Linked DNA regions of Daphnia pulex. The protein of the gene in region 1 interacts with the protein of each later gene in a pairwise test. Links are inferred from orthologs where the notes say so. Each region holds a gene or a part of one and is shown in the gene's direction. Other genes may lie near its edges.

Evidence for each region. The genes of interacting proteins can lie anywhere in the genome.
Region 2: the proteins of serine/threonine-protein phosphatase PP1-beta catalytic subunit (region 1) and zinc finger FYVE domain-containing protein 9-like interact in a two-hybrid assay, tested with the Drosophila melanogaster proteins (2 studies listed by BioGRID). The link is inferred for Daphnia pulex from reciprocal best matches to the Drosophila melanogaster genes flw and Sara.
Region 3: the proteins of serine/threonine-protein phosphatase PP1-beta catalytic subunit (region 1) and serine/threonine-protein phosphatase 1 regulatory subunit 10-like interact in a two-hybrid assay, tested with the Drosophila melanogaster proteins (2 studies listed by BioGRID). The link is inferred for Daphnia pulex from reciprocal best matches to the Drosophila melanogaster genes flw and PNUTS.

Annotation. Positions count from the first base shown.
Region 1 is NC_060021.1:5,447,392-5,456,070, reverse strand, and holds serine/threonine-protein phosphatase PP1-beta catalytic subunit, read left to right. Parts: upstream 1-1,254; 5' UTR 1,255-1,272; coding exon 1,273-1,393; intron 1,394-1,456; exon of another isoform or gene 1,457-1,643; coding exon of another isoform or gene 1,644-1,659; intron 1,660-1,811; coding exon 1,812-1,943; intron 1,944-2,036; coding exon 2,037-2,267; intron 2,268-2,329; coding exon 2,330-2,506; intron 2,507-2,578; coding exon 2,579-2,865; intron 2,866-2,926; coding exon 2,927-3,028; 3' UTR 3,029-3,318; downstream 3,319-8,679. Other genes in the region: probable ATP-dependent RNA helicase DDX10, read right to left, coding at 3,464-3,644, 3,702-3,806, 3,867-4,276, 4,347-5,291, 5,354-5,555, 5,625-6,391. UniProt on the Drosophila melanogaster protein: Required for cell adhesion in non-muscle tissues and in maintenance of muscle attachment. Vital for larval development.
Region 2 is NC_060022.1:6,348,993-6,353,563, forward strand, and holds the end of zinc finger FYVE domain-containing protein 9-like, read left to right. Parts: coding exon 1-518; intron 519-583; coding exon 584-830; intron 831-892; coding exon 893-1,184; intron 1,185-1,249; coding exon 1,250-1,402; 3' UTR 1,403-1,640; downstream 1,641-4,571. Other genes in the region: myb-related protein A-like, read left to right, coding at 4,032-4,265, 4,355-4,504.
Region 3 is NC_060017.1:4,411,313-4,417,236, forward strand, and holds the end of serine/threonine-protein phosphatase 1 regulatory subunit 10-like, read left to right. Parts: intron 1-432; coding exon 433-677; intron 678-743; coding exon 744-1,110; intron 1,111-1,181; coding exon 1,182-1,268; intron 1,269-1,331; coding exon 1,332-1,488; intron 1,489-1,561; coding exon 1,562-2,045; intron 2,046-2,115; coding exon 2,116-2,278; intron 2,279-2,355; coding exon 2,356-2,597; 3' UTR 2,598-2,993; downstream 2,994-5,924. Other genes in the region: protein SREK1IP1-like, read left to right, coding at 3,497-3,533, 3,671-4,104.

The DNA of each region.
Region 1 (8,679 bases):
TTCCATAGCAGAAATAGGTGAGACACACACATAATCATTGTAGAGTCTAATGTTCTATTTCTATACATAATTTTTTCATCATTAGATGCTATGTGTCGAAAAGCTAAAGTGTTTTTCCACTGTGATGGAGCCCAAGCTCTAGGTAAAATTCCAATTGATGTTGAATCGATGTCAATTGATTTATAAAGGTATTTTACAATTTAATATATGATTGTTATTTCGATGTAATTCACTCTTTTTTCGCATCATTCTTTTCTTGAACTTGAACAAAAGGTGTTGGTGCTCTTTACGTGATAGGCCGACCACGGGTTAGGATTGAAGCTCTGCAAAGTGGAGGTGGTCAGGAATGAGGGATACGTGGTGGAACAGTTCCTACTCCACTGACAGAGTGACAGTTGGTTTTGGCGCAGCATGTGAAGTAGCTCAGCAAGAACTTAAGGTTTTAGTTCATGTCATAGTAGTATCCATACATAACTAATTGATCAAAACCATGTTTTAGTATAATCATGCCAGATTAGTAAACTATCGCAACGCTTGATCGATCAGATTGGTAATAGTTTAACACATGTCGTACGAAATTGAGATCCTGAACACTCCTACCCAGGTTGTGTAAACCTTTCTTTCGCCTACGTCGAGGGAGAAAGTCTTTTCATGGCCCTGAAAGGTAACTTTATATAAAGGCAACTTCCACTACCTTTCATTTTAACTAATTCTTTTTATTACGTAAGACGTGGCACTCTCAAGCGGAAGTACTTGCACCTCAGCATTGCTGGAACTTTCATATATTTTGCGGACCATTGGCGCTGAAGAAGATTTGGCGCATTCTTCTATTCGATTTGGAATTGGGCGATTCACCACCGAAGCTGAGGTTGATTACACGGCAGAAAAGTGTATTCATCAAGTATCACCAAACTTCGAGAAATGAGGTATATACCGACCAGGTTTGGAATTCCCAGACAAAAAGCTTATTTTACTTCCGCTAAAAATGTTAATTTGTCCTTCTTCCTTATTTGTTTATTTTTGTCGAAATGAAAATTTATAAATGCAACGTCGTTCTTTTTTTTTTTTTATGGTCAGTGTTTTAAAAAAGTAGAAGAGTATACAGAGTACAATAAAATAAAAAATTACAGAGTAAAATAAAAAATAACGACAAGAAAATGAAGCACAAGAACAAGACTGCCTAATTCCAAAATTCTTCCAAGATAGCTCTGTCACTTAGCCGAAGGCCAACGCTTGCAACGCGAGCCCTAGTTTCCCTAGCAGACGAAAGCCATGTCTCAAGTTCAGGTGTTTACATCCAGATGGTGCTGCACAACTATTTTAATCCCGTCTGACTTTTCGATGATGGCGGACGACCTTAATGTTGACAGTATTATTTCTCGATTGTTAGAAGGTAAGTCATTATGAATTAAAAATTTTGATTAAAACTAATAGAGCAGTCTGAAAGCTAGGAACTAAGTGGTCTCATTGATACATCTTTTATGCGTTCAATAGCTTCTTAGACTACTTTTTTGGTGTAGAACTGCAAAGGGCTTCAATTTTCAATTTCGAAAATAATGATTACGTTGGCAATTTTGTGACGCTAAACAAATTCTTGAAACCAATATTTCCCCATCTTCTTATTTATATTTAAATGAAACTAAATGGTCTCATTCAATGGTAATAATTTAAGGTTCTATACAACTTGATTAGAGTATTTATATCACATACCCACAGCCTTGTTCCTTGCCCTAAAAATGAAATTGTCATGTGATTACCTGTAAATCAAATTGTTAATCACTAACCATTTTTTTTTATGTGTTTTGTAACAGTGAGAGGATGCCGGCCTGGGAAGTCTGTGCAGATGACAGAGGCTGAAGTTAGGGGCTTGTGTTTAAAATCCAGAGAGATTTTCCTTCAACAGCCAATACTCCTTGAGCTAGAAGCACCCCTGAAAATTTGTGGTATGCACTAATTTTAACAAATTTCATTCTTATTTTTTTTACTTGGGACTTCCAAAGAGGTAGTAAATTATATTTTCTGTTTGGTATTTTCAGGTGATATTCATGGCCAGTATACAGATTTGCTAAGATTGTTTGAGTATGGAGGTTTCCCCCCTGAAGCAAATTATTTATTTCTTGGCGATTACGTGGATCGCGGAAAACAGTCCTTGGAAACCATTTGCCTTCTACTTGCTTATAAAATCAAGTACCCTGAAAATTTCTTCTTATTAAGAGGAAATCACGAATGTGCATCCATCAACAGAATTTATGGCTTTTATGATGAATGTAAGTAACTATCGTTTTCTAAATGGCCATTTTTTAGAGTGATGTATTCTGCTTTATCTTAGGCAAACGGCGGTACAACATTAAACTGTGGAAGACTTTCACCGATTGTTTTAATTGTCTTCCTATCGCCGCCATAATTGACGAGAAAATATTTTGTTGTCACGGCGGCTTAAGTCCCGACCTACAAAACATGGACCAAATCAAACGTATTATGAGGCCGACTGATGTACCTGACACTGGTAAACTTCGACTTGGCTTTTACACCTGAAATATATATAACATCATATGTGGCTGATTTGTTTTACATTCAGGCCTTCTTTGTGACCTGCTGTGGTCCGACCCTGATAAAGACGTGCAAGGATGGTCTGAAAATGACCGCGGCGTTTCCTTCACTTTCGGAGCTGATGTTGTCAGCAAATTTTTGAATCGCCATGACCTTGACTTGATTTGCAGAGCTCATCAGGTCGTAGAAGATGGTTACGAATTTTTTGCCAAACGTCAACTGGTTACTCTCTTTTCTGCGCCAAATTACTGCGGGGAGTTTGACAACGCGGGCGGCATGATGAGCGTTGATGAAACACTTATGTGCTCTTTTCAGGTATTTCTATTGAATGTTTAATATTTGTAACTCAAATTTAAAATTTTTCCAAATTCGTTAGATTTTGAAACCCTCGGAGAAGAAAGCAAAATACCAGTATTCTGGTATCAACGCCACGAAGCCGAACGCAGCTGCCAACAAACCAGTGCCCAAGAAGAAGTAATAGTTAGTAAGAGTTATTGTAAGCTTAATCCTATTGAATTATTTGATCGACTTAACCTTTCAACCGGAATGTGGTGGGAGCCATCAATGCCCAATTTCCCCTTTTTAACAAATTCTTACAACTACTATTTCTGTTGCCCTCGTCACACAATTTGGAGGACAACGTTACTCCTTCGCATGCTTCGTCAGCGTCTTCATTTTTTTCCTCGTTACTTACCACATCTCTTTCTCCCTTCATTTAGTGTATATCCTCTGTAAATCAAACAAATAAACCAACATGATATCAGCAAACTTGAACATGCTTTCCTTGTATGACGCAATGAAACAGTTTACAATTACGTCGGAAAAGATTCAGTCGACAAGCCGCGTTAATGTCAAAGTTCTCAATCCATTAAGCTGACTGTGTATTTCATATGGACAACGAGGCAGTCTTTCTTTAATTTTTAGAGCCAAGAATGTGAAGAGCCAACTCTTCGTCCATAGCCAAATCCAGGCCAGTGTCAAATTTACTGTTCTTAGCTGGTTTCTGTTTCTTAGGTGGCTTCTTCTTGATCCATTTTTGTTTCGTCTTTGTAGGTGTGGGAAGTTCTTCGCTTTCACTCGGTTGTCGCCGTTTCCTAATTATGAGAAAGAATTAATAGAATTCCAACTTGGTTTCAGCCAAATGTTTGTACCTTGTAATCGGGGTAGGCTTGACAGGTGCTTCGTCATTGTCACTTTCACTATCATCTTCACTGTCGTCATCTTCTTCACTCTCGCTCGGCAATCGCGAGCGTTTCCTAAATAAAGACAGAATTACTTTATTGGAACAAACGAAAATTAAATGGGAGATTTCTTACTTTGCAACAGCTGGCCCTCTGTAAACCTCACCTTCTTCTTCGCTATCATCTTCCTTGGCGCCGTAGATGCGATCGGGATCGGGTAAAGCGTCTATAATTTCTCCGACTGAACCATCGACACTCTCGTCACCTTCAGACTCTTCGTCCTCCTCCTCACCTTCGACATTCGTTACTTCTTCTTCCTTCTCTACCCGGTTGGCAAGTCTACGCTCTGCTTTGGCTTTGAGTCGATCTTCGCGATGTTTGGCTTTAATACGCTGACGGAAGATTTCTTTGTCGTATTTATCCTCTTCTTCCATCGCCTTTTTGGCTTCAACCAAATTGATGCCACCAGTAATCGATGTCGAAGCTTCAATTTCGAGAGCTCGGCCAAGCTCGGAAACTTTCTCGCGAGATGCGTCATAAATTCTCTGCAAAATAAACAACAATAAATTATACAACAACACGAAATGGGATCATTCTGTAAAAAATGGGTATTACATTTCCTTCGTCGTCAAAGTTGACAATTTTATTGGCCTTCAGCTTTTTAGCAAGGATTCGTTTGGCAACTTTCTCCTTGGTCAAGATCTTTTCCTTCTTCTTTTTCTCAACACCAATTTCAACCTCCTCCTCCTCGGCTTCTTCGAATCCGGGGAGAGCGTGATTTTGCCGCTTGATTTTGAAAATGCCGTCATCGCTATCGGAATCCTGTAATTCGTCTTCTGCGTGGAAATCGTAAGCTGCTTCCAGGTCGTTTCTTCTCCATTGCTGCTCAGTCGATTGAGCGGCAATAGGCTTCTCGGCTGGGGTGTCATAGTTTGGTTTCAACATTCGAGGAGCTTGTGGAGGCGCAGCCGATTCTGTTGCCTTGAGATGTTTTTGTAGGAAACGGACGCGTGGAGCAAGAGCGAGCCCCAAAGACCGAGCTAAAGCATTCAAATCGATACTAGTGACATCAAAAATCGACTTGTCTTTCATAAGGAAAACTGATTTGGCATAAGTAACAAAAGCCCGTTGGGCCATTTGTTTCAATTCAACATCACGAGCGAGCATGGCTTCGAGTTTCCGCTGAATGGAAACCAATTTCGAAGGATTGACTTCAATTTTCTGAATGGGGATCTTTTTCTGGGCCAACTGCTCAACCATGGCTTCTTCTGAGGGCAGCAGCATCAGCAACGATTCCCCTCCTTTCTGATAACGAGCAGTACGACCGGCTCGGTGGATGTAGCTACTTGGGTCGTCCGGACAATCCATTTGAATTACCCAATCAACATTAGGAAAATCGAGTCCTCGAGCGGCAATGTCTGTGGCGAACAGGACGGCAGTTTGCTTCTCGCAAAACTCTTCGTAGACTGACATGCGTTTCATCTGGTGCATGGTACCATACAAAGCCAATACAGAAAGACCAGGTCGCAGACGAGTAAAAGCTTGATGAATAAATCGAACCTAATTAAAAGGCAATGTTCAAGTTAGTTTGATAATCAACGGCAAATTTTTCAACAAATTACCTGTTTGCAAGAAGTCAAAAAGACAATCAGTTTCTTCTTCCTATGACTCCTAAGAAAAGACCATAAAATGTCGACTTTGTTTTGAATGGGAGTAATGATGTAGCTTTGACGCAAAGACTCGGGTGTGGAGTATTGAGCGTTTTCGTGAACAGAAACGTAAACGGGGTCCTTTAAACTGAGACGAGCGAGATCTTTGACTGATCTGTAATTTACATAAGATATAAAAAGGTGAGCGTAAATTCTAAACGATGAATGTTATCATATTAAATACTTGGTTTGTGTGGCGGAAAACAGCAGAGTTTGCCTCTTTGGGGGTAAATTTTCAATGATACCGTTCATCGTTTGCTGGAATCCCAGATCCAAACAACGATCAGCCTCGTCAATAACCAATATCTGTAGGTTGGAGCAGTCAAAGAGAGGATTTTCATCCATGTGATGAAGGACTCTTCCAGGGGTGCAAATCATGATGTTACATTGGTCTAATCGTTTCCTTTCAAAATTAAGGTCTTTGCCTCCAATGATGAGACCAGCAGAAAAATCATGCTGGATTCCAACCTTCCTGAAAGTCTCAAATATCTGGTATGCCAATTCTCGAGTTGGGGTTATAATTAGGGCACCAAGACCATCTAGTCGAGTCCATTGCATGCAGTACAGTCTTTCAAGAACAGGTATCACAAAGGCAAGGGTTTTTCCACTACCGGTTTTGGCAGCTCCCAATACATCTAGACCTCTTAGGGCAAGAACAATACTCTCTTTTTGGACTTCGGTTGGCGTGGTGTACTCGTTCTGCTGCAGACCTTGCAAGGTTTTCTTGGAAAGCGGAATATCTTTAAATTTTAGTACAGCTGATGTTTCCACTGATGTATAGCGAATTTGCAAATTCTTGATTTCGTGTTGCTCAATGGCACTTGCTTTAACTCGACTTGGGTGTAATTTTCCTTTGGAGTTGTTTTTCTTCTTTGTCTTTTGTGACCCAGGTCCATTTTGTTTGTTGTCATCCGGGGTTTTTGCATTACCATTTGTACTACCACTCTCCATTTTCTTGTTGTAATTTGTTTTTCTTTTATTTGAAATATTTTTGAAAGAAACTAGGTAACTTGAACCATTCAATTCAATAACTAAGTAACTTGCCGTCTTGCCCTGTGTCGAAATTTTTGGGCACCACGAGACAAGCAGACGACAAAAATCTGGTAAGTGCCATCTGGCGATAAATGAAGCATATAAGAAAGTTGGCGGAAAGTTTGAAAAGGTTTCGATTTCATCAAAATTGAATTAAAAAAAAAATAGTTTATTACACTATTTTACAAGGCAATGAGAATAACTAAAAAATAATTAATTTCGTCACGCGTATATTTTTAATCTTTTTTTGTTCAATAAGAGGATGCATCACTTTATTAAAAAGCACCAGATCCCACAAAAAAAAAACACAATTTAATAAAATATAATTTTATTTTGACTATCTTTTTTATTAGCTTTGGTACGTATAAAATTCAGAGCTGAAGAACGAACGGAAGGTCTTCGGACTCATCTAATACACCTGTAACCGAAGAAAGTTCGGGCAATTCCGAGAGAGATACCAATTGAATGTATATTTGCGTCGTGTTGTGATTGTTTTTCATGTCCTTCAACAAGAAAGTTGCGACTTGCACAGCGTGATAGTACTGAGGAATAAATGAGAGATAAGGAAAACACGAGGGAAAACACGGTAAATCGTCGCATTAATCTTGATCTTGTCTGAGATTATCTTGGAGAGAAGGACGCTGTCCAAATGAAATAGAATTCCCAAAAAGCGAGGCCGCAGATAGTCCCCTATACTTTCCACACTTTTGACTTGGCCATGGCTCTTGACGACAGAACTCGACGTAGATGGGACGCGACGTGCTGGGAATGCAACTGGATGAGCAAATCGTTATGAATTGATTGGAAATTTGGTGCCAACACGTGCCCGCAGTTGTGTCAATTTTAGTCGATGAAGTCCAGCACGTTACATGTGATGTGTAGGCAGACAGCAACAATATCTTGAAGAGGGATGTGAAAACAGTCTGCCATGACAGTTTCCTTCCAAAACTGTACCAAAACCGTTGCGCACGTTAAGATGGCTCGTTGAAGAGATGGTAAATTTTTTCAGTCGAAATTTGCGCCACTTTGTGCATTTTCTTGGTGATTGATAAACGAAGGGCTTCGGTTCGAGCAGAATGATAAAGAACCGATATAGAAAAAGATCCACGCGGTGGAGTAGCGAAATATCATTTTCATCAAAGACAAACTCGAGGAAGAAGAGCGCCATATCTTCAGGAACGATGCTTACTTTTAATGATGTAGCAAGATTTTCGAGATTGTGAGTGCACCGTGAACTTAGTCCATCTTCTAGATTATGAACAACATTCATCTTGCTTGATAGAGCACAGACAAGGTCTGCTCCATTTTTTGTTAAAACCCTTATATCTTCTCTAGAACCAGAAGCCAAAATTGTGGTTAAGCATTGTGTTATTGATTTGCGGAACGACTTGCTGTGGCGGATGATCCATTTGATGACTTATGAGTTATGACTTTGATGAACATTTGCGTCGCTGCATTTGTGATAGCGAGTGAAATAGCGCGAGTTTCTTGCAATGGCTGCACTTCTACTAGAAATAGAGGTGCGCTTTCCCTCCAATTCTTTTTGATTTTTTTCCAAAGCTTACACTAACGCGATCGACGACAAAAAAATATTAAAAAATAGAGCAGGTCTTAAAGATTAACACATATTTATTTCAAATAAACACAAATGTCTTTCATGCAATAATAAAATAAAGAAAAACGTAGTCCCTTAAGGCCCCTGTGAACTGTGGCGGCGGGTTTTTTTGGGGGAGCAGAAGTAGGGAAGAATGGGGCTAAAAGGCCTGGAGGCAGGTCGCTCTTTTCTAATTATTTACAGTACGGTATCCTACAAAAAAATCCGAACACAGCTCTTTTTCTAAAGCCCAGTTCAATGTATATTTTTTGTTTTTAACTTTGAAGACTTCCCATTATATGTAGAATTAATTGTTTTACAAAGTTCATTTATAAGAATTAAGAAAAAAATGCCGAAATATTTTTTTTTATATAAAAAAAAAGACCAAGGTGTTCAGGTTACTACCTACCCGAAGTTTGGGAACGCGCAAGCGCGAGCGAGAAAATCTTATGGGAAATTGCGTTTTTTCTCGGCGTTCCCAAAAATCAAATTTTTGTCGGATCGCGACGAAATTTTTTTGGCCGTAGCCATTACTGATAGCATTAAAGAATTTTTTTTTAGATTTCTTCGATAAAGGGAAATTTAGGTTTAAAATGGATCCCTAAGTTTGGGA
Region 2 (4,571 bases), on another chromosome or scaffold:
TTTACCAACTCCTCCTTATCTTGTGGCAGTATTACTACAACGTTGGGAGATTCCTTGGGCTAAAGTGTTTCCATTACGACTTTTGTTGCGGCTGGGTGCGGAGTTCCGCTATTATCCTTGTCCGCTATTCAGCGTCCGCAAACGCAAATCAGTTTTCGGCGAAGTTGGGCATACTATCGTCAATCTTTTGGCTGTAATTACTTCGTGCAATTTCCAAATATTTCTATTACTAACTGTTTGTTTTCTCTTCCCTCCATTCCAGGACATGAGGAACTTTAGCTACAGCTTACCGGCGGTGGCCGGCCTTGTTGTACACATGGAAGAAAAAGAAACTAACATTCTTTTACCGAAATCTCGTTATCAGCAAGTGTGTAAAGCACTAGCCCAGTCTAACGATCATGTCATTTCACTTGCAGCATCGTTCAGTCCTCAAGCAGATGCTCATCTCGTTTGTCTTCAATTGGATGATGGATCTTATCAAACTCAAGCGATTAACATCCACACACGGCCACGAAAAGGTTAGTTATTCGGTATTTTATAATATAATTAAAAGAATTACTGATTTTTTTCTTCCCTTGCGTAGTTACTGGAGCAAGTTTCTTAGTATTAAATGGTGCTTTGAAAAGCTCCAGTGGTATAAGTGGTCGCTCTTCGATTGTTGAAGATGGAGTTATGGTACAACTCCTTCCAGATATGCTCAGTAATCTAAAACAAGCACTAATTCGAATGGAGAATTACACTATCCAATGCGGGAAAATAATCGATGATCAACCGGAAGAAACGGTTACACTTAAATGGGTAGATCAAGAACCATCTCCTGTTAATCTAGGGTAATTTATCAATGCATATTGTTTGAAAATTTTGTAAATTAACAATTGCTTGTTTGATAAAGAGTTCAATCTCCTATCGATGGTCGAAGCTTCACTGGGATATCATCGATTCGAGTGATGCAGCCGCGTGACTTTAAAGGCGAGGGTCATAGACTTTTGCGTTGGACAGAACTTTTTGTTATTCAAATAGAGGACAGTGCACGCTCTTCCTCTAATAGAATTGAGGATAATGGAGACATCACACGTTTCGCTGAAACTTTGGCCAAAGCTGCATCAGTGGCTCTGGCCGCCAAACTCGCAAGCCTCGAGCCTCACACTTTGATTGGGCTACGTGTTTCTTTGGACGGAGATTCGGTAAATTAGATTATACCTTTTTCTCTTAAAATATCAAATCATCCACCATGTTCGGCTTTGTCTAGGTGGAATATCAAGCAGGAGCCGGACAAACCTCCCTGCCGAATGCATGTGTCGAGGAACTGGATTCATCGCTAATCCCAATCTTACATCGAGAATCTTCAGGTCAAGGAGTTCCCTGTATAGTGGAACTTTGGTTTCAAGTCGTTCATCCGTAAATGGCGATTTCTTTGGCTGATGCTGATGCGACAGCTGTAACCGAAATGTGATTTGGCTTTGTAATATTTGTATAACAATGAAGTAGTGGCTTTTCTTATTGCTGCTATCCAAAAATTTTGTTACTCTGTTGTTATCACAAAGGTTCTATATACTGGTTGCCATTCCCCTCTTCCTTATCTTTTGAGAGAAAACATTTTCCCTCGTCTAAATACCAATAAACTTCGGTTAGTCATCTTATCTTTCCATTTGTTCGAAAAGTTATACTTCCTAACAATTTTTGAAATTAATATTTAATGATTTTAGTCATGTTAGCGTTTCCTTAACGCGAGCGCAAATTAGAAAACAAAATCATCGCACCTAATCTCATTTTCAAGATGAAAAAACCCATTGAAATAGACATTTTATCAATTTCAAATGCAGAATATAAGATGAGTTCATACAAAGATAAGTAAAAACGAGTGCATAGATGCAGTATTATATTTTGTCTAGTTTTATTTTTATCTTAGCTGTTGCCAATCGTAATCAGCTCCGCCATCTGTTATTAAACTTTTGAATTGCGTAAAGCCAGCCAATCAGAAAGCTTAAACAATGCGAACCAATAGGCGACGCTCCTCATCCCCAAGCTTGGGCGCCATTTTTTTTCAAAAAAGGGGAAGGGTACTGACAACAAGGCTTCCCGCCTCATGGAACTCCAATGGCCGCCATTCCCTAGTAGTCGCTCAAAACATACAGCTGCGGTGTGTCCGCTTTCTGAAAACAGTGCTAAGTAATTGAAACGAAACAGTAGTGTCGTGAGATTCTGTGGATTTGTTTACAATCATCTCACCATGGTGAGGTAAAACATCACTCATTTACCCGACCCGTTGCCAACTACGATTCAATACTCAAGGTAAAACGTGAAATCTCTATCTAGCATGCCTTGTTTCCCTCCACAAGTGGTGGGGACGATTATAGCAACAAAGCAGACTTTTCGAGTTGTGCGTTTGGCCCAGTCTGGACAGAGTTTTCGCTTTCTTTTGATGCTAGTTTTCTCTTAGGACAAAGAAATTTTCGAAAAGTTGTATTGCAATTTCAGAAAAATAAGTCAAGTCTGTTGTCGACTTTCTGGCGATTTTTTTACTTAAGCAGGTATACCCTTTTTTATGTTTAAATTCTCAGGAGAGCTGAAAAGGTCTTAGTCTCGCCTGGACAAAGAGTTTTACCTCTTTTAATCCAAACCGATAGAAGAATATGGTTTCAATTGTCTTGTCTGCAGGTAGAAAAAAAAACTTTAAAAAAATCGGTGTTTGGGAGTCAAAGATAACCGAGATAAGAACAAAGCCGGTTTTTTTTCTGTGAAGTGATTCTTATTATCTTGAAATCTTTAATTCAATTTCAAAAGTTATCGTTTCCCCAATGGAAAGTAACTCTTATTCCGACAGTCCATTTCATTTCCTAATTTCTTCGAAATTGGTAAACATTTCTGAAGCAAGTTTTGGTTTCAGCATTTTGTTTCCAAAAATGGAAAGTCGGGCCTCTCTCCATTGGTCATTAGCATTTCTTCGAGACGTCTACGTTTGTTCGTCGTTTTCCATTGTCCTTCTGGCACGGGTCTTTCATTATTACCGAAAAGCACATCTATCACTTTGATCTTAATAGGGAATTCGCTTCATGTTGGTGCTGACCACCTGCCCGATAATTGTGTTAGACCTGGTTTCCCCTCCACTAGAGTGAAGGCTGATTTGTATAGGGGGGTGACAGCAGCTGCTTGATGGCTAAACACAGGCGCGCCCGTATACGGCATTGTCTTTATTTAGTTCCGGGCAAGTTGGGGGGTACCATCGACAAGCTTTAAGTTTGATTCACTGTGTAGTCCCAGCAAAAGAGGTCAAGAGAGCACAGAACAAGCGACGCCGTCTATTTTTTTATATACGAGGGGTAAATATGGACGTCGAGATGGCATCAAAATAAAAGTTGCTCTCTTATGTTGGAACACAAGGGTTTTTTGCTTGCAGAGAGAGGGGAGATTGTGTTGGAATCGAGCGAGGGGGGCTGAATTCAGAAGAGAGGGGCAGCAGCTGTAGCAGATGTTCAATGCCGGCGTGCATACAGCGTCGTAGTGGTAGACTTCCTCTTTTTCTTTCACTCATGGCCGATTATGAAAGACCTTGTGCCTGTCCCACGGTTATCGATCCGTCCCCCTGGCTTTCTCTCTTGAGAGATTCTTCGAGGTTCTAGATCGCGCCACCCACCATAGGGAAACATTCCTTTTATCAGGCAAAGAAATGTGAGATCGAATAAGAGCGACGAGGGTGAATTTGGAGACGGAAGAAAATATTCCGTCTTTGCAGTGGAGCCCAGTCGTCTACTGTTTTTTTTCTTCTTCTATTATTCCTCTACTTCGGTCTTTTTACAGTACAGAGCTAATGTATTCTGAGTCATGTCGCCGGATAATCTCCCTTGCAACCATGTGCACACAAGAGCGTGAAGAACTTTCTTTTCCATTTGCAATCCATTCATTGTCCAAAACCCTACCGTAGGAATTTGAATGGGCGAACTGGAGCCATTGTCAACGCATACCTGTACCGTAAGACGTGAAATAATAACCCAGAAAATTGTGTGATTTTTTAGACCTGCCAAGTAGACGAGATGAACGACTTTGGAATGGACGCTGATAGCAACAGTTGGGGCTCGGATTATGGCGAGGACTTTGGATCGGATATTTCAGATGGTGAATATCAGCCGAACGGCGCCGCCACTGCCTCCAGCAGCGCCCAACACCACCAAGCGAGTTCAACAGCCACCTCCCGGGTTGCTACAAAAACCAAAGGAGGTGCCCAAGCCAGAAAAATGGTGAACCGCGGGAGATGGACCAAGGACGAAGTGAGTTTGCCTCCCCCGCCCACTACCTACCCCTTCAACTTTCAGCCCCAAGTCTTGTAGAGTTAATGATTTTCTTGCCCTTTTTGTAGGATGAAAAACTTAAAGGAGTTGTGGAACGCACCGGTGAAATTTGGGAGAACGTAGCCTCCTTCTTTGAAGATCGATCGGACGTTCAATGCCAACACCGATGGACAAAAGTCGTCAATCCTCAGCTGGTTAAGGGACCTTGGACCAAAGAGGTAAAATTTGTTTATACCTTTGTTTGTGTCTTTATTTTATTTTCCTTCTTTTCTTCTTGAAAATTCC
Region 3 (5,924 bases), on another chromosome or scaffold:
ATAAAGGGCGGGGTCATAAAGGGTGTGATATAAACCCTACATTAACCCCCAATGAGCCCTGATGATGGCGAATTTGGTCGTTACGATACTACCTTTTATTTCTTCTTCTTTCTTCTCTTTATAACTAATAATCGATCATTGCGCTGGTTAGCAGAGGCTGTTTTGTCTACCAATGGCAATCCGATCCGCTTCGGAATGGAGCGGTGTAAGTGCTAGTGGATTGTACGTCCTTTTGAGGAGCAGTACGCGGGAGTAACCAACTCCAAGGCAGTACATGCCGTCATGACCAAATAATAATGAAAATTGATGCACTACAGATAACAATAAATATGAATAACTTGACACATGAAACCCACAGGATCTGTTGACTCGGCCGTTTTGAAGAACCATATAGTAACGTTACTCCTTTATTACTCTTTGCAATCACAACAGCGTTGCTGCAGGACAGTTCGCTGTTTATGGACGCACTGGAAGCTGGATCGAAAACGTCTACTGAACCACGCAAGAGAAAGCGATCCGCTAAAGATGGACCTGAACTCCCACCACCTCCCCAACAACCTATCGTCGTTCCCACCATCAAGCAAGAAGCACCTGCCACTCCTCCCGTCACTCTGGCTGGCCCAGTTGTCGCCCCAAGGGAGGAAACATCACCGATACCAATGAAACCCATGTTCAATGTAATTATTATTTTTAACAAAAATTCGAAGTTAAGAATTTTAATTATTTTTTTATGCCCCAATCAGTTCTATCAGGACACACTCGAAACGGATGGCGGCATAAAGGAAGAAGAAAAGACGGACACGGTTGTCGCTTCAACCGATACCAAAGAACCGAAAGAGGAATGTCCCGAGAGTCCGTCGGCAGAGAAAGAAGTTCGTGTGAAAACGGAAGTTGATGGTGAGGAGAATGAAGAAGCCAGTTCTCGTGACAGCAGCAAAACGGACATGGCCGGTGAAGAATCTCCCCCTTCACAATCGGACAGCGGAAAACCAAAAGGCGTTCTGGTCCTCCATGCACATCAGAAGAGGCGGCCCAAAAAAGTCCTTCAATGGCGACCGGAAGAAGAATTGGAGATGCATCACTATTTTGAACTCGACGAAACGGAAAGAGGTATGCCACCCCTTAGGGTTCATTATTTGTTTTTGTTTGTACATTTTCCTTATAATTTATTTGAATTGCAGTCAACGTGAACAAATTGCTTTTCGGTGAGATGAAACAAGCCGAGAAAGAACGGGAGAAACAATCGATTCTTATGTCTAAGACTATGGGTAAGTGAATCATTTCATTCGTTTTGATTTCTTTAAGAAATTTAATGATTGGATTGTATGTAGTTGAAGAACCAGAGGTTGAAGAGAATCCTTGGAGAGGGTTGTTGCCTATCGATAATCTCGAAGACCGTGTCATTTTCGGGGAAAACAGTCAAGAGCGGGAGATTCAAGCCGCCAGAGAAAGCTCCACTCTTCAGGCCCTGTACTTTAAAGGCCAATTGTAAGTGTTGATAATCAAGTCGTGGGAAGATAAAAAGGTCTTAATTTAATTGATGTGCTTTCAAATGAAATAGGCTTCCAGATTCCCCAATCGAGGCTGATCCTGAAGTACCACTGGAACGAACAGACAGCGCACCAACCGTTATTCCATTAGACGACGTGACGGGCAATCCCGAAAGCGTCTACGATCACCGGCATCTGCCGTGGCCCGAGCCTAAAACAATGCGGCCCCATAATAGTGCGCCCTTCTCTGGACCCCACCAAGCCCCCATGCCGGCAGCATATCAGTCCCATCATCAGCCTCTTCATCCACAACAATACAGTGGCCCCGGTTATCGAAGTGGCCCACCTGCTGGTCCTGGACCGGTTGATCCATATTACTCGGATCGTGGTCCAATGCACGATGATCACTATGGACACGGAGGATTGGGCGACGTTCCTATGCACGAAGGACACGGAGACATTCCCCATCACGGGGGACCACCTATGCATCACCATCCAGGTGGTAGAGGTGGTCCTCCAGGAGGACCCCGCGGAGAAGTAGGAGGAACTTGGATGGTAAATAACGCAATCTAATGACAACTGTCTACAGATTTATCCTTGAATTGTCTGCTTATTGTTTCACCAGGCTGGCGATGGATCAATTTATCCCGACCACGACGTGTCACAACGGTACAATGATGGACCTCCGCAGCACCGAGATGGGCCACCTCATCACCGTGAAGGATTTCATCATCACCGAGAACGTGAACATGCTCATCCCCGTGATCGAGGAGGTCACGGCTATAATGGTAAATGTTGCTCTTATCAATTAATCCGTTTCTGTCGTGTGTTTTACTAAACATTTGTTTACTTTTTCATTTTTCAGATATGATGGGAGGTCCAAATTCCGGATTCATGCACCCTCGCGGTATGGGTATGGACGGACCGAGACCTAGATTCCATGGACCGCCGAGAGGTGGCGGTGGAGGTCGGCCGGGAGGACCACCTTCCGCTCGTGGCGGTCCCTCAAACCAGCCGTGCTGGCACTTTATGAGAGGATTCTGCCGTTTAGAAAATCGTTGCAAATTTCTTCATCCCAATAACTATAACGGCGCGCCAATGCCTTAATAACAGTGAAAAAAAAAACCAACACATCTTATTAGAAGTTCTAGCCATTTTGTACATTTAATGGGTCGGTACTGTGCCGTTCCCTCTCTGTATAGTGTTTTATAACGAGCTCGAAAATCAATGTGATTTTGTTTAGTTTCTAGTTTGTTCCACTTTATTTTTTTCTTCTTTCAACATGTGATGCCTTTTATTAGGCTGCATTCCCTCGCCGCCATTATGCTTGCAATGAATAATGTAAAGTGTATTTAAAAAGAGACGATGAAAGAAAACTGGGTGCAGTGGGAAAATAGTAAGCTACTTAAAGCTTATCTCGTCCGTCTTTGTATGATTGTATGTCATCAAATTGTACATTTCATTGAAGTCTTTCTGGCTGCATATAAATTGATTTCTACTTGGTGTTTGTTATAATATAACATTAAGCGTGAGTGCAGGAGAGTCAATAGTTGCTTTAAAGGTTCATTAGCTCATGGATCGATGCATTGATTGAGTGCAAGAACGGAAGAACCCATAACCGGAAACGTGGTTAGAATTCTATTAGCTAGTTAGCGACGAGCCCTCCTGGAACTCACTAAGTTATTCATTGTAATTACAAGCTCTTCCAATATACAGTTTATCAGATTTGTTTTTATAATGCCAATAAAACGTCATTCACGTCACATGGGTGATAAATTGGTAGCCCTAATTGCTAATTTGTCGTCTCCCGCGCCACCCACCGAATGAAATTATTAGAAGCTCGCTGGCGCGTCGCTGGGTCAGAGCAATAGATCCCGGCTGGGTGTTCCCTGTTGTTTTGTAAACATTATTGGCGCGTGGACTAACCACAGATAACGAGGCATTGGTCTTTTCCTTCAATTGACATTTGTATTTTTGTTTTAACGCAATCGACTCGCCAAACAATAATGGATTTTGAAACATTAAACAAGCTGAAATCGTCTGGTAATTAATTTTAGAAAACAGTCTTGTTTTATTTCTTATTCATATTCTCCTGGCTTTAACAATTCAGTATTCTCTTTTTCATGTATTGACTTTTGCAACTTGCAGATTTTAATTAACATGACATTTTGTTTTTGCAGGAACTGTTGTTGGGCTTGGCAATGAAACTGCTAGACCAGCCTGTAAAAAATGCGGCTATCCAGGACATTTGACATTTCAGTGTAGAAATTTTCTTTCAACGAATCCTGCTAGTGGTGTGGTTTTGGATGTGAGCAGCACAAGTAGTGAAGAAGACGACATGACCACACCGCTGACAATGCTGAGAGCTGAAGAACTCAAGGCACTTCAAGAAAAGCTGAAAGAGAGAGAAAAAGAAAAGAAACTTAAAAGGAAATCCAAGCACAAGAAAAAGGAGAAGAAAAAGAGAAGCAGAAAAGATTCTACCTCATCATCTACTTCTAGTGATTCATCTGATTCTTCAGACTCTTCAGACGATGACAAGAAGAAGAAGAAGAAAAAATCCAAGAAACACAGAAAATCCAAGCACAAGAAATCTAAAAAGGAAGATTTGTAATATGTTGTGAATTTTCAATTAACATAGGGAAAAGGGGAATCATGTACGGGTTCTGTATCTCTTCTTCTTGTGTTGGATTCAGTTGCCCATTTCAGTTTTTTATGACTCTTGAAGTGACATCCCAGGGGAAATCTATGTAACACCCATGTGCTCAACAAGCATCATCTACCACCATCCCTGAACATCTCGCCCCTTTGCAAGCACATTAAAAAAGAAGAAAAAAAAGTAATAAAAAAGAAAAAAAAGGAGAATTCATATCCATGCGCATTACGTCAGCTTTATTAAATAGCTATAGATCAAACAGATGGGGCCATATAAATAACACTGCGGACGTGTTTGGGGATCTAAGGCTGTGTGCCTATATATTCGGCATGCCGCAAATAATCGTGGTTAATGTTCACCCCGATAGTATGTTTCGTTTCACGAGGAATTAACTACCAATTTGATGAAATTATAGTGTTTTCATGCAGTAATAACTGGTTCAATAATTCGTTTGCTAAACTTGTTAACAACCTGTAATTAGGGTGATTTTTACTTTTTTAAGTTTGGCACAAAAGTGGCCATTTCAAAGAATTGCAACGCCGTCTGCTAGTTTGAGTGCACACACACACGAGAAAGTTTTTAGCGATGTGTTTTTCTTTTCGTCTGGTGAATGTAATAACTTTTGAATTTTTGATGTTTGAATATCGTTCTGAAGCGATCAATAACATGCAGCCTGAAAGAGTGAATGCTGAATAAGTGATCTCTTCATGGGATTCTACTTTCTGTTGAAAGCCTGTTGACAGAAAACGTTCGCCGACCCGATCTGACTGCCGACTGCCATGCCGTTTTTCAATGGCCGATCGAACAAGTAAGTTCCTACTGCTCTACCACTTTCCGTTATCCTGTAATTTCCAAGTGCTCTACATAAATTCAATTTCGATAGTGTTGGTTTCGTAACTGAAAAGTAACAATAGCTCGCCAATTACGAATGTCAGGTTATGTGTATAGATGAAAGCAAGGTGCAATCGGAGCAGGAAATCGAGTTGGTACATTCAGAGTTATTCTCCATCTGTTTCTTCTCACACGTCGGAAATGGAATATGAAAAGCGACTTTTTCTCTCTATATACATGTTGTGTCTCATCCGGGTGTGTTGGAAGGCCAAAATACAATCACAGCAAAATGGCGCCTGCGACAGCTGGCCAAACGCTGACCGGAAGCATAGAGATGTGCTAATCTTTTTTCACATCCTAAACGTCATCAGACACGGAACAAGTCTTCTCCCCCCTTTTCACAGTAGAAGCCCAAAGTGATACTTGTTCCGGCAGATAGGAAATGAATAACGCACGTCTGTCACAGTACATAGTACAGCCAACGGTTGTCTATACACACACACGCTAGGTCGTAGGTTGACATTATTCGGGGCTCTCGATTCAATCAAATGGATTTTTGTCGATTGCATCTACGATAAGCTCCTCTGTTCGTTACGTCAGAAAAAGGAATCCATTTCATCGTCAAATAAAATAAGAAAAAAGAATTTCCAACGTAAAAGTAATAACCGGACGAAAATGTAGTACATCTTCTTCCTTTTTTGGAAATGAAAATGGCTTCTTCATTCTTTTTCAAATATTTTTCTGACTTGAACGGGCGTTGGTAAAGAGAGGCGCTTTTCAATTGTGTAATGCACGCTCTCTCGGCGGGAGTCACTTTTTTTTTCTATTATTCCGCCGTTTTTCCTTTTTTTCAATGCGCTTTTTGTGCAGTTTTTGTTTTTAGACTTTTTTCAATGGGAAAGAAAAGGTCGAGAGAGTGACAGTACCATCTGGCGAGTTGAGATGGT